2 linked regions of the Lytechinus pictus genome follow. The main gene of each other region encodes a partner of the protein of the gene in region 2 in a complex. Links are inferred from orthologs where the notes say so. Each region holds a gene or a part of one and is shown on either strand. Other genes may lie near its edges.

Region 1 (8,150 bases), on a different chromosome or scaffold from region 2:
TACATTGTATACATGTACTGTATAGGCCCAATGGATAATTGACATTTTTTATTTAATAAGATATATATTTCACAAATATCCGTAAAACCCAAAGTAGAGGAATAAAAGCAATATAGCTATATGAAGCTGCTTTCTATTGTTGACCTCGTACCATCTAATATCCAATAACCCCAGGACGATAAAACCTACTTTTTGGCTGAAAAAAACTATAATAATTGGAAAATTTAGGTATAATTACCTTTTAACTCTACAAATAATGGTTTAAAAGTACTAATCATAGGAAAAACAAATTGCCTGCCCCCAAATACATATGAATAGACACCAAAACCAGAGAAAAAGACCACCAAATAAAGAAGTTGTGGCCAAAACTGTGATTTTGGGGGGTTTGGCGGCCATTTTGGATTTTGGCCCGGCACACTTTTTTCTCGGACTCGAGACAAAAAATATTATCATTTCATGTTGAGATACATTACAAGGAATAAAAAAAAACTGTTGTCATATTGAAATTACAAAAAAAGTATTTTTGACCCATGTATAGCCCACTCCTAATGTTAAGAAACAAAAAAAATAATAATGTTCCGCTCCCAACTGTTGAGCACTCTACCCGGCTATCCTCGCGCTGCATTATGATATTTATCAACCGAGGCAAGTATTTTACGATTCATGATATTTATCGGCCGAGTCAAGTATTTTTAAAATTCAAATTGGCAGCTATACACACGTGTGGTATCTAGGTATCAATAACAAAGACATCAAGATGGCGACCAAAACAGACTTGGTAAGTCAACGCTCGTGCTCGTCTTAATTATTTTTCATATTATACACCCAGTTGTTGTGTGTCCGGACAGGTTGTGTGTCCGGACGATCAATTTTAGAAAGTCATTTGGAAAATTTTACAGGTGAAGTTTCATCAATTTTTGGTACAAAATGTTAGGAAATATTATAGAGAACAAAATAGAAGATGATTACAAATTACAACTACATGTATTGAATTCATATTTTTTAGTGTAATCCAAAGACAAAAAAGAAGGGCTTCAAAAATATAGTGTCCGGACACCCGAACCCCCCATCCTACTATTTATTGAAGGAATATATACAAACATATTAAATTTGGGGGGAAAACTTAGTTATCCTTACCAAATAATTTAGCTCTACTTTTACCGTGGGAAAACCTACAGTGTGAATAGACCAATGCGTAAGCGAACCAGGCGTCAGTGGGGAGTAAAAGTCATCTACTCTACTACTAAGACTACGTAGAGACTAGACAGCTGGCAGCCGTCTGTTTCGAGGAGTTTTTTTAACATTTTTTTATTTTTAAAATTTCTCCTCATACACAGACGGCTCGCTATCGTGCAGCCACCATTAGGGGACTTACAATGCAAAATCCCCCCGTCGGGGCTCTTCAATTTTTGTCTTTAATGAATCAAACTTTTGAAAATTAACGCGACCGAAATGCAAATTAATATTCCCTCTAGCCATTAATTGCCAAAAAACGGGGAAAATCAAGTTAAAAGGAACAAAAACAGTGACTTACCTCGGCTGTCGCGCAACTTCACTGCCCTGTTTTATCCGAACTTAATACACATAAACATATGGCCATTGATCCCCTGTACAGATCGCGCTAGAACTTCGGTCTCTGTATTTGGTGAGTGAAGCCAATGGCAATGGAGTTCAGCTGAACAACCAACATAACAGAGACCGAATCTTTTGGTCTACGTAGAGACTAGAGTAGATGACTTTTACTCCCCAGACGCCTCCAGGCTAGGTAGGAGTATCGAGTAGGACTAAGAGTGCTGCCAGGCCAGGCACCGGATCTGCCGCGACCCCGGGGGGGGGGGGGGGGGGGGGGGGGCACTCGACCAAAAAAGTGGTAGGGGTGTGCCGCGGGCGAGACAAAAAACGGGGGCCTTGGAGCGGGCTTATTGTAAAAAGGAGGGTCCTCGGAACGGGCTTTGGAACTACAAATGTTTGTGAAAACGGGGGTCCTTGGAACGGATCGCCAGCGTGTGAGTGCGTATGCATGATGTGCATGATGCAGCTAGCCTGGCAGCCCGGCCGTCAAGTGCCCTCGCGCAGAGGCGATGGTCGGACAGCGCTCTGCGGCCGCTTTTCGATAAGAAGAAAATGCTATGCTTTGGAGCGGCTTTCTTTGTTCTTTTTCTCAATAAGACAAAAATGCTATGCCTTGGAACGGAAATTTGAGTGTAAAAATGGGGGTCCCCTCCGCGGCACATACCCACTATGCATTATATACTGAGTGCCCCCCCCCCCCCCCGGGGCCGCGACAAGCTACAACTTAGCTCTAGGCGCTAGTGTAGTTTCGCACCTCCCCGTTTAATGGTTTTCAAACATGTACAATCTCACCCTAAATAATTCACAACCTAAAATACTTGCATCTGAGCCTCCAAAGTCCAGTAGAAGTTGAATATTTGCCGTTTTGACACTTTTTTTACAAAGTTTTACACCTATTTCGGAATCACTCGGTCGCTTGATCAAGCTCAGCGCTGCACATAAGCAGTCAGTACGCGTACGGTACGTACCACCTAGACCTAGTGTCTAGGGAAGTGCAAGAATTAGAGCGAGTTTTTCTATAAAAAGTAGGCCTAGGCCTATGGTATCTTCAAAAAATGTTTGAAAACCATTATTCGGGGAGGTGCGAAACTACACTAGCGCCTAGCTCTACACTAACCCACTTATCCTACGAGTACGAACAAGGTTATAATAACGCACTAAGTGACTAACCCAGCAATGCATGCCCAGCACGGCCCAGGCAGCTCGGCAGGGAGCTTCGGCCCGCGAAGCGGGTGCTGCAGCGTCAAGACTGTCATCATTCATGGTCAGTGACAGTGAGTTATCATGGCACGCCATGGTTAACTTAACGTGACTTAAGTTCAATAAACTAGGATAGTAAATCCAAATAACGCTATACCGGTACAATAAAGGGCTTACCTAAAATAAGCTTTACATTACAGTCCAGCGACAAAGTTTGTTTACTTACTTATTGATCTTCAAAATCTCTGAATTTATAACTTGACTTGAAATAAGGTTTCGAAATTCGAATTCCCACTCCTAGTTCAACCTGCCTACAACTTTATGCTGCCATCTCCGTCGTCATCTGAAAAGGGGATTTCCCCCAATGTATGACGCATTCCCCCCCCCCCCGCCCCCATGGCCGACCCTTGGTTTTTTAAACGACACATGCTATGATGAAAAATATTGCACTCTGTGTAAAAGTGACAGTATTGGTGATGAATTTCATGCTATCTTTGAATATGCAGCTTCTTAAAGACCACGAGGTCCAATTGATAGTCAAGATATTATTGTAAAAAACAAATACTTTTAAAATCCCAGAAGGAAAAACCAGTAAGACCAGTAAGAATTTTTGCTGGTTTCCAGTAGAATTTTACTGGTGTCCAGTATATTTTTACTGGGCCAGTTGATTTTTAACTGGACCAGTAAAAATAAACTGGAGACCAGTTCCAACAATTGCATTCCAGTTGAAGCAAAGTAGTAATACCAGTTAAATTGTTTTTCATCAAACTGGTGTTACTGGTCCAATAAATGGTTTCCAGTAGATTTTTACTGGTTTCCAGTATATGTTTACTGGACCAGTTGATTTTTAACTGGACCAGTAAAAATAAACTGGACACCAGTTCAAACAATTGCATTCCAGTTGAAGCAAAGAAGTAATACCAGTTAAATTGTTTTTCATCAAACTGGTGTTACTGGTCCGATAAATAATGATTTTATTTCAAGTCAGATCATTTGACGAATTATGGAAAATGAATCTTGAAATTCAGAGAAAGTTATTATCGTTATCGATTGTTACCATCATTCTTATAATTATCATGATTATTATTTTTATGATTATTATGATCATTGTTGTTATCATTCTTATTACTGTTATCATTGTTATTGATATTGTAATTATTATTATTAACATTATCATAATTATCAAGTATTAACATTATCATTGAAATATAATTATTTCCTTTAATTATGATTAAGAGCAAGATATATTCCTCTGATATAGTCAACTGGTCTACAGTAAAATTGTTTGAAATTGAACTGGTCAAGACCAGTAATACCAGTAATTCTGATGATGCTGATCACGTGGTTTACCTCATTTGCATATTTCCTGTTTTTAAAAGAAAAATCAGGATTTAGAATGGAATATCCTTGCAATGGCACTCATTGTTGTTTAAAAACTTTCTGAATAAGTGTGTGAACTAATTCACAATGAAAATGTGTAATTTCATATATCACATTTAAAATAACAGCAGAAAGATTAATTTACTAACCATCTTTTCCATCACATTTCACTGACCATGGTATATAACAAACCAAATGCATGTAACTGGGCGTTGTGGCGTGCGCCTGTAATCCAAGCTATGTGGGGAAGTTACAAATTGATGCAGAGATTCGAGGTTCGATCCCTGGTCACGTCTTTCGGATGGTGACGTTAAAGGTCGGTCCCAGACGTTTATAATCATATCTGATTGATACACGTCTGACAAAACTCAAATACACACACACACATTAAATTGATCCAGTTCGACCAGTTTGAGGACCAGTCAGACCAGTAGAGAAAATACCAGTAAAGACCCGCTTAAATTGGATACCAGTGTGAAGACGTAACCTTCGATCATCCTCACAACATCTTCTCACTGTTCCCTCCACAAATACAAATACATATGGTCAAAGAGCCCTTTCTTTATCTGCCGCTGTACTCTGGAATTCTCTACCTTTAAATATAAGAACTGCACCATCTTTCCCCATCTTTAAATAAATGCTCAAAACTCACTTATTTTCAAAATAGTATTTTATGATGATAAATATATTATGTTGTTAAATATTGTAAGTTTTCATTTCATTAATGATGTAACTTTATGTATTGATTTAATTTGTTCTAATTTGTATTAAGTATTTTAGGATTAAGGTTTAGGTTTATTGTATGATTCAGATAAGATTTAATGTATTATTTATTGAATATATTTTGTAAAGCGCATAGAGAGTCTTTTGACTATTATGCGCTATATAAATTTCAAATATTATTATTATTATTATTAAGACCAGTGAGACCACCAGAAACAAGACCAGTATAAAATTCCAGTAATTCAAGACCACTTTAATTTTTAACTGGACCAGTAAAATTTTAACTGGACCAGTATGACCAGTTAGACCAGTAAACCGATGTTCCAATTTCCAGAGTCACCAGTTAAAATTATACTGGTCTTACTGGTCCAGTGGAACTGGTTTCTCCTTCTGGGATGGAATCGGGGGGGGGGGGGGTCCAATGACGAATGGATACCATGCGCGACCATGGGGTTTCGAAAAGCACCCTAAACAAGTATTTTCCATATTCTGAAAATGCATCACTTTACAAGTATAGGCGTGTGAGTGAAAACCTACCTTACCCTGTAACCCGGGGGGGGGGGCACTTCCATTGACGAGTGGATACCATGTGCGACCACGGGTAACACGTATTTTCCATGTTCTGAAAATGCACCCCTTAACAAGTATTGGCGTCTGAAACCCTACCCTTAACAAGTATTGGAAACAAAACTATACTCTTGGCAAGTATTCCCTGAAATGAACCCCTAAACAAGTATAAAGCGATATTTTATTGGTGTGTCACGGGTCCGTCGGTCGTCGGTTTTACCTAATTTACCCCCGGGGGGCCACTTACATTGACGAGTGGATACCATGCGCGACCAAAAAAAACACGTAAAAATGATGTCTTTTTCAAGATAGGGCACGTTACGTACGTAACGTGATAAGGGTGTCAAAAACACAAAAATAATGAAAAAAGGGTATCTATTTTGCTATGAAAATTACGTGTTTATGGTCAAAATTGCGGGGATGATAAAACGAAATTAAAATGTTTTATAAAGGATGTCCTTTAGTTTTTGCCCCAACACTACGTGTTTAGAGTCCGATTTGCGCGTGATGTAGAAGGTGGGGTCGTACTAAACCAAATGATGTACAGTACATACAAAGTAAAACTGACGTCCGAAGGACCCGTGACAAAACAAAAAAACATTCCTGTACATGTTTAAGGGTTCATTTCAGGAAATATTTGCCAAGAGTATCGTTTTGTTTCCAATACTTGTTAAGGGTAGGGTTTCACACGCCAATACTTATTAAGGGATGCATTTTCAGAATATGGAAATTACGTGTTTAGGGTGCTTTTCGAGACCCATGGTCGCGCATGGTATCCACTCGTCAATGGAAGTGCCCCCCCCCCCCCGGGTAATTTACACAACATTTGTTTTAGTACGGCCCCCACCTTCCTCACCTCACGCAAATCGGGACTCTTAACACGACGTGTAGGGGCAAAAAGGACATCCTTTATGCAGCATTTTAATTTTGTTTTATCATCCCCCAAAATTAGACCCTAAACACGTAGCTTTCCTAGCGAAATAGATACCCTTTTTTCATTATTTTTGTGTTTTGACACCCTTATCACGTTACGTACGTAACGTGCCCTATCTTGAAAAAGACATCCTTTTACGTGTTTTTTTGGTCGCGCACATGGGCGGAAATCCCAGGGGGGACAGGGGGGAAGTGTCCCCCTACCGAAAATAGTAGGGGGGACACAATATCAAATGTCCCCCCTACTATTTTTGGTCTTTTATGATGGAGAAAAATGCATCATTCACATTCGAAATATTACATGTATTTTGGACTAAATGACCTTACGTTTTTGGGTAAAAACCTTTTTTTTTTTGGGGGGGGGGGGGCTTGTCAAATTTTCCAAAGTGACTAAAATAAGATTAGGGGAAGACTTGGAAAATAAAAAGAATCTTTCATGTCACTATATGAAATTTTCGCTCGCGCTTCGCGCTCGCATTGCCTGTCAGGTGATTTTTCAATATGTAGCTTAAATATCAAGTTTGGAAGTCAATATACATTACACATTTCACCTCGGAAATCGAACTTTCATTATTTTGTGTGATTTACAAACTGATTTTTAAAAAGTGCTCTGTAAAAGTGACAGCTTCATGGTCTGAATATTGAAATTTTCTGCTCGCACTGAGCGCTCGCAAATTTCGATTTATTAAGTACCTTTTATTTTTGTGTATTCCATTTAATTTGAAAAAAAATCAAGTCTGATTGTCAAAACGTATCAGATAGCGCTGGCTACTCGCTCGCATTTTAATTGGCGATTTATGTATGTCTCAATTTTGATTTTCATGACAGTTTATCAAAGATATTGGCTCGCAATTTGCGCTCGCATTCATGGTTAAAAAATATTTTGACTGATGCATTCTATTCATAATTACAAAATTGCTTGAAATGTCCAGTTTTCAGGCCATAATATCATCAGATTTCTCACCCTCATTAGGCATTAATAAATAAGATATTAATAATTTAACGATTAAGTTGTCTCTTTTGTTTCATCTCGCGCTTAGCAAGAGGAATAGGAAGATAGTCATCATTTTCATATGACATGTCCCAAGGATGTCCCGGTCCTATGTCAAAACTCAATTAACAATAAAAACTATCAGCTCTTTATTAAGTGCGATCCATATCCACCTCACAATTTTCCTACAAAGTGCTTGAAATATATAGCTGAAATGGACTCTTTTTTAGATTTTTCATGATAAAAGAGGTGTAGAATGCCTAGATTCTAGGTCTAAATCTGAAACACGCGCATGTTTATTCAGATATTCAACTTGTTCTCTATTCAAATCATTATCCAGTTTCAGATCACAATATCAAAAATTGTCTGCTTGCGCTTTGTGCTCGCATTATTAATGTAGAAAGATCCCCTATTAAGCCCCTTTCACAATTGACGTACGATCATTTGCGACCTTTTGGTCGTGCGACAGGCTGCAACAGGCATCAATCGCCAGTCATCTCATAAGATCGCACAGAGGCTTTCACAGTTGCAACAGCTGTCGTACAACAAAACCAACCAGTAAAACCCGTTGCACGAGTAAGTCGCTTATGATCCTATTGTGCTCGTGCGATCACATGCGAGTGTTGCACGGGGGATTGCGAGGGGAACGGTCGCATACAACGGTAGTGCAATGTTGTAAGCCGTTGCGATCGGTCTTGCAACAGTCTTATGGCCCATCATATTATCGCACCCAGTCGCAAGACAGGTCTCTGTACATGTAGGTCGCTAGCACATGTGCAAGTGC
Region 2 (7,290 bases):
ACACCATTTTACGGCCAAGGCTGGATTCCCCTTTAAGCGAAACTTTAAAATGTCATAACTTTCTTATTTTACATCCGATTTTTATGAAATTGTCAGTGTTATGCTTGTTGGATTTTTCTCTTTTTATTCAAATCAACTTTTTGTTGGGGTGGACTTGTCCTTTAATTGCAAACTTTCTCATCACTCCATTAGTTGTTTGTTTGTTGATTTGCTTCTCTGATGTAATTGTAACTCAAATGTGTATACACATGCTAAAAGAGGAATGCTGGGCTGTTTAACTATCACTGTATGATGGTGGTACCCAAGTCTGCGAACCTAACAATTTGAGTTAAGATTTACCATAATTATTTTTTATTACACAAAATCTTTCAGATGTTTCTTATATTATTATGAGTAAGTGTACAAAATATCTCATAAAAATTTGGAAGAAATCTTGGATTTTCTTGGAAAAGACCTTGGGCACTCATTTTCAGATTGAAAAAGAAAATGGTACCCATATCTGCGCACCAATTCACTTTGCACACAATATGAGGATTTTGATGGGAAAGGCTGCATTTCAAGGCCGTCACATGGAATGCCCCAAATTCATTATTTTTCCACCATTTTGAGTTGGATTCTTTAATGAATATCTTTCTATGTATTGCATGTGTAAAGTTTGTGTTCGTTGCGTATCTTCTTTTACTAGAATCGCGCAGATACGCGTGTGCGCAGACTTGGGGGAACTTGCCATACATGTATGATGGTGGGCCCCAAGTCTGCGCACCTAACAATTTGAGTTAAGATTTAACATGAATTTCTTCTTATTTCACAAAATCTTTCAATTAATAATGTTCCTTACATTATTAAGAGTAAATGTACCAAATTTCTCATTAAAAAATGAAAGAAAATATAGGATTTTCTTGAAAAAACCTTGGGCAGTCATTTTCAGATTGAAAAAAAATGATACCCCATGTCTGCGCACGCATTCACTTTGCACACGATTCGGGGATTTTGATGAGAAAGGCTGCATTTTGAGGCCGTCACATGAAATGCCCTAAATTCATAAAGTTCGTGCTCGTTGCGTATCTTTTATTAGAATCGCGCAGATACGAATGCTTGTCAAGGGTTTTGTTTTTAAGACTTCTCCTTCCTCTTCTCTTTTTCCCTTCTTCTCCTTCCCCCTCTTATTCTCCTTCCTCTTCTTTCTTCTTCTCCTTCTTTTTCATCTTCTTCTTTCTCTTCTTGTTTCCTCTTCTACTTTTTCTTCCCTTCTTCTTTTATTCTTCTTCCTCCTATCTTTATTCTTCTTCTCCTTTCTCTTCTTCTTTTATCCTCTTCTTCTCCTTCCCCCTCTTATTCTCCTTCTTCCTCTTCTTCTTTTTCTCTTCTTCTTTCTCATCTTGTTTCCCCTTCTACTTTTTCTTCCCTTCTTCTTTTATTCTTCTTCCTCCTATCTTTATTCTTCTTCTTCTCCTTTCTCTTCTTCTTTTATCCTCTTCTTCTCCTTCCCCCTCTTATTCTCCTTCTTCCCTTGTTCTTTTTTCTTCTTCTTTCTCCTCTTGTTACTATCTTTTTTCTAATTCTTCTTCTGCCCTTCTTCCTCTTCTCCTTTCTCTTCTTTTTTCCTCTCTTTCTCCTTTTTTCTTCTTTGTGTCCTTCTTCATCTTCTTCTTCTCTTCCTTATTTCTCTTCTTCTTCCTTTTCTTCTCCCCCTCCTGCTTTCTCTTTAATTTCTTTTTTTTTCTTCTTCTTGCTTGTCACACTTTTCCTCTCTTTTGAACCTGGAAATTTTTGCGCTTTGACGTAATTTGCGACAGCTGGCAAATGGACTGAGACAGGTTCGAGGTAGATTTGTGTTTACCATCTACAAATCGGTGGACCAGGGCAGGCCCAGGGCCGGGCCTGGCCGTGACTAGACCTACCTCTCAAGGTGGCCCGAGGTTGTTAGGGATGTTTACATCTAATTAATTTCTTTCCTACCCGAGGGCGAGACAGGCCCCGGGCCGGGGCCACCAATTTTCTAGATATCGTCTTAAGTCAGACTAACCCAGAGAGCTCCCGCCCGCGTAGCGGGCGGGAGCCCAGAAGCTTACCGTGTATTTTACCATTGTCACCGGACTAGGGTGATTTATGGTCTAAATATTTCTCCAAATGAATTGTGAAAACGGAAAGTATACAATTACCACGATTATATGGATGAAGGTCTAACGAGTGGCAGATTCCTGACATCTGGGCACAGTCTGGAACCTCAAAAAAACGAAAAGTTCTCTCCTTCTACCCAGTCTCGATCGGCCATTTTGTTACGATTTTTAACAAAAATGGCCGATCGAGACGGGGTAGAAGGAGAGAACTTTTCGTTTTTTTGAGGTTCCAGACTGTGCCCAGATGTCAGGAATCTGCCACTCGTTAGACCTTCATCCATATAATCATGGTAATTGTATACTTTCTGTTTTCACAATTCATTTGGAGAAATATTTAGACCATAAATCACCCTAGTCCGGTGACAATGGTAAAATACACGGTAAGCTTCTGGGCTCCTGCCCGCTGTGCGGGCGGGAGCTCTCTGGGTTAAAGTCAGACAAGCAAGGGCAAACGAATTGCGCCTTGGCTTTATTTATAATTTAATTTATTTTTAAGTATCCGAACATCCTGAACATCGGAACCTCATATCCATTAAAACTAAGTAAACATTTCATTGTCCACTCACCCATGCACTGAAATCATTAACGTAAAGTCGTAGGGGCGCCCGATTTCCCGGCCAGTCCAAAGCCAGGCCCAAGCCAAAGGCCAAAGCAAAGTCAAGACAAAGTTGCTGTTAAAAAAATAGAAGAAAACTTACAAATTCAATGAGCGAAAAGTAAGGCCAAGTGTAAGATCAGCACAAACTAATTACGGTACCGTACCGGTACTGTTAGAGATGGTTTCATGAAGACTTGCGCCTTGGTGGTTTCAGGTCAGAGTCAGAGTACTTTGATTGAATAGAACAGTTGAGATGCTAGTGGAGATCGAGACTAGAGAGAAGTGTCTTGGTTGTGGCACTTGCGCATGCAGTCACGGACACGGTGCACGGTGCGGGCTAGCTGCCAGCCTGCGTCCCCGGCCGGCCCGGCGTGTGCCGGAGAAAAACCCCCCTTACCTGGCGCTGGCGCGGTGGATAGTTGGAGAAAAATTCGAGGTAGCGCGCGAGATCGAGAGAAGCTCGAGTATGGAAAGCCGATTACAACGGGAATTTATTGTCATACAAAACGTGTGTTATTTTCCATAGACAGCACCCCCTGGAAATCTGATAGGTATGATAAATGACAGAAATTTAATAAAAATGAACGTTTTGTATGAACACTCCCCCTTCAGAATTTCCCTATACAGTGCTTGAAATAGTGCTTAAATTAACCCTTTTTCAGATCAGAATATCAAATATTTTCAGCTCGTGCTTCGCGCTCGCATTATATTAGTTTTCATTATGAAAAAAATGTACTTTCTAGAATGCCCAGATTACAGTCGGGTAGATATGATCAAAATTATTGCAAAACCGTCAAGTTGGGTATGGTCATAGAGATATATCTCTATGGGTACGGTATATATACAATTTTTTGCTGAAAGTTGTAGTGTATGGTGTCTAATTCAAGAATCCGACGGGTGCCACTTGGGCATTTTTTTTTAAATTGACGTCATATAGCTAGGCCTCGCCCAATTTTTGTCTCACCTGCATGCACCGGGCACCTGCATAGCAGAGTGAGACTATAGGCGCCGCTTTAGGCGGCGGCGTCAACACCAAATCTTAATCTATAATTTTTAGTTTTTGAAATGACAGCATAACTTAGAAAGTATATGGACCTAGTTCATGAAACTTGGCCATAAGGTTAATCAAGTATTACTGAACATTTTGCCTGAGTTTCAGGTCACATGACTAAGGTCAAAGGTAATTTAGGGTCAATGAACTTAGACCATGTTGGGGGAATCAACATCAAAATCTTAAACTAAGGTTAAGTTTTTGAAATGTCATCATAATCTTAACCTAAGGTTAATTTTTTTAAACGTCATGATAACTTAGAAAATATATGGACCTATAGTTCATGAAACTTGGACATAAGTTAATCAAGTATTACTGAACATCGATCCTGATCATTGAGTGTCACGTCACATGACCAAGGTCAAAGGTCATTAAGGGTCAATGAACTTTGGCCAAATTGGGGGTAGGCCTATATATAGGCCTATCTGTTGAATTTCCATCCGTAACTTTGAAAGTTTATGGATCTGATTCATGAAACTTGGACATAATAGTATATAATCAAGTATCACTGAACATCCATGTGCAAGTTTCAGGTCACATGATTAAGGTCAAAGGTCATTTAGGGTCAATGAACTTTGGCCATAATGGGGGAATTTGTTGAATTACCATCATAACTTTGAAAGTTTATTGGTCTAGTTCATAAAACTTGGACATAAGAGTAATCAAGTATCACTGAACATCCTGTGCGAATTTCAGGTCACATGACCAACGTCAAAGGTCAATGAATTTTGGCTAGTATCTGTTGAATTACCATCATAATAAAGTTTATATGGATCTGATTCATGAAACTTGGCCATGAGAGTAATCAGGTATCTTTGAACATCCCGTCCGAGTTTCAGGTCACATGACCAAGGTCAAAGGTCATTTAAGGTCAATGAACTTTGGCCATGTTGGACGTATTTGTTGAATTCTCTGTAAGTGTAGGCCTGTTGGTCTAGTTCAAAACGTGGATATAAGAGTATAACCATGTATCACTGAACATCTTGTGCGAGTTTCAGGTCACATGACCGCAAAGTCAAAGGTCATTTAAGGTCATTGAACTTTGGCTATTTTAGAGGTAACTTACTATATTTGCTGTCATATAATGTATAAAATGTGGATATAGGGGTAATCAAGTGCACTGACAAGTTTTAGGTCACATGATCAAGTTCAAATGTCAATGATCGTATATAGTATTGTATCATTATATATGAATGGTGTTTTTTGTGAATAATTATATTAGTTTTCAAAGTCAGCACTGCTACTATATCGCGTGATGCAGGTGAGACAGCAGATAGTCATTCCACTTGATTGTTTACCTCTTAAATATGACTTTCATATTTTACGACATAAACATGTCATGTTTTTATTAATAAATCATCAACATACAAACTATGCATCGCATAAACAACTTAATTGACTAATATTTACAAATTAAGATTATGAAGTGATCAGGAGAACAAAGAAAAAAATCATCGGCGACTTGTTTATCTAACTTTGTTAGTGGATACATTTTCAAGGCACATGAAAGAAAGAAAGAAAATGAATACCGGTAATTGACATGAGAACGCAGAGCAGCACACCTATGCGCGGCCCGCGCGCGCGCCTGATCGACGTTGCATAACAATCTCCGAGTATGGGTATAGTATTGTGGTGTATACTCGACAGCTAAACATTAAACATGGCATCTAGTTTTGTCTCTGGGTTCAGAAGTCTCGAAAAGACTGCGCTCTTCCACTGGAAGTTTCTTTCCAGCTTGTCGTCTGGCAAAAGGTGATTTGCAATTTCGTATTGAAGTTTGATATTGGGCCCCATCATTTGCTTGTTTGCTGGTAGAAAAGTCGGGAGCGGGAGGAAAGAGTAAATACATTTATTTCCACATTTTTGTTCATTGACCATGACGTTAGTTAGCCCATGTACAATTCGAACACATTTATCACAGAAAGATGATATCACCCGCTCACTTGCGTAGATCAGAAATTGCATACCGCGATAATATAATTGGCGTGGCCACCTAACTGAAGGAAGACATGTGTGCTTGATTGAGGCGCTGATGTTGCTGATGTCTTTTGTTGTCTTTTTAAATCATTTATTGGTATATTTATTTGCAAATACATTTTTTTCATCCTCAGTCTTATTTATAAAATCATCCTGATTCCTGTGTCTGTGACTCGTTACAAAAAGTCTTAACTTGATGTTTGTGCAGGTTCCATTCTAGACAGCTGTCAGCCGTCTGTTTCGAGGAGTTTTTTAACATTTTTATTATTTTTTATTTCTCCTCATACACAGATGGCTCGCTATCGTGCAGCCACCATTAGGGGATTAACAATGCAAAATCCCCCCGACGGGGCTCATCGATTTTTGCCTTTATTTCATAAAAATATATAAAAAGAACTGTACCAAAATAAAGTCAAGATTATTATTCCGTTTTGGCCTGAAATGCACCAAACGGGGAAAATAAACTTAAAAGGGGAAAAAACAGTGACTTACTTCGGCTGTCGCGCAACTTCACTTCCCTGTTTTATCCAAACTAAATACATAAACATATGGCCATTGTCATGAGTCCCCTGTACAGATTGAGCTAGAACTTCGGTCTCTGTATTTGGTGAGTGGAGCCAACGGAGTTCAGCGGAACAACCAACATAACAGAGACCGAAGCTTTTGGTCTAGTTCCATTCCAGAAATCAGAAGCTTAATTTCTTACTTTCCATCCTGATTTCACTCCATAAGACCATATCCATCCTTCAGTTAGCCTCAAAATTGGTGATTTAGAGCCAGCATCGAGTTCCTCACACATATAAATCATTCTTTTGGAACCCAGTTCAGATCTAGATATAAATCTTGCATGTAGCCTTTTGTAGGTGTTTACTTATGAAATTATTTATTCATGTTTAGATATTTCCTCGTTTATCCATTCATTCATTCGTTTATTTATCTTGCATTAATTGATCTATTCTTTAGAATTTGTCCTCAGGGTGCAACAAACCTGCTTGCCTGAGGCAACTAGAAATGATGTGTGGGCAAGCATTTCTCAAATTCAATTGCCCGGGTTTAAGAAAATTAATATCAAAATGACGGTAAATTTCAATATCTTTTGGATAAAATAAGAACTATCATATGTCGAACCGGCAACTACAGTGCGTATAAAAAAAAGGGACCATTTTGTAAAGTTTGTCAAAATTTTGTTTCAAATTGTGGGCCAGGGACAGTCTTATACATTCCCGGCTATGTCCCGGGACCCCCAGGGCCAGGAATATAATTGAAAAGTGCATTATACCTCCGCCAAACAAAGTTTGAAGGGGGTATATAGGAATCAGTGTGTGGTCGGTCCATTGCAAATCTTGCGCATCAAACTCATTCAGAAAGTGAATGTAACCCTAATATTTTATGGGACTCTTAAGTGCACAATTACTGGTACTTGTATAGATTATTGTACACGCAACAAGAAAGAAAAAAAATGTAAAGAAACAGCTATTAAAAGATATTCAAAATTTAGATAATAAATTAAGTACTGATACAGATAATAATCTTGACACTTCTTG

The links. Proteins that work in one complex are often made in the same cells at the same time.
Region 1: the proteins of non-structural maintenance of chromosomes element 3 homolog (region 2) and non-structural maintenance of chromosomes element 1 homolog are in contact, whole or in part, in a crystal structure (PDB 7DG2), measured with the Xenopus laevis proteins. The link is inferred for Lytechinus pictus from reciprocal best matches to the Homo sapiens genes NSMCE3 and NSMCE1. Residues at the interface, in XP_018121157.1 of Xenopus laevis: Gly57, Glu58, Val60, Gln61, Tyr62, Leu64, Ile65, Lys66, Gln68, Lys69, Val82, Thr100, Gln102, Gln103, Val104, Phe105, Gly106, Phe107, Asn123, Leu125, Gln126, Arg127, Val128, Gly130, Asp131, Gly132, Met133, Arg134, Asp136, Glu137; in NP_001083134.1 of Xenopus laevis: Ile5, Glu7, Gln10, Arg11, Leu13, Gln14, Ala15, Met17, Ser18, His19, Leu30, His33, Leu37, His38, Leu54, His57, Leu58, Pro60, Leu61, Phe62, Met63, Val84, Asn86, Ile88, Thr89, Met91, Ala92, Ser93, Asp94, Gln149.

What each region holds. Positions count from the first base shown.
Region 1 is NC_087261.1:31,457,148-31,465,297, forward strand, and holds the start of non-structural maintenance of chromosomes element 1 homolog, read right to left. Parts: upstream 3,114-8,150; 5' UTR 2,999-3,113; intron 1-2,998. UniProt on the Homo sapiens protein: RING-type zinc finger-containing E3 ubiquitin ligase that assembles with melanoma antigen protein (MAGE) to catalyze the direct transfer of ubiquitin from E2 ubiquitin-conjugating enzyme to a specific substrate.
Region 2 is NC_087247.1:43,388,103-43,395,392, forward strand, and holds the start of non-structural maintenance of chromosomes element 3 homolog, read right to left. Parts: upstream 3,192-7,290; 5' UTR 2,819-3,191; intron 2,792-2,818; exon of another isoform or gene 2,687-2,791; intron 1-2,686. Other genes in the region: NADH dehydrogenase [ubiquinone] 1 alpha subcomplex assembly factor 3-like, read left to right, coding at 5,430-5,521. UniProt on the Homo sapiens protein: Component of the SMC5-SMC6 complex, a complex involved in repair of DNA double-strand breaks by homologous recombination. The complex may promote sister chromatid homologous recombination by recruiting the SMC1-SMC3 cohesin complex to double-strand breaks.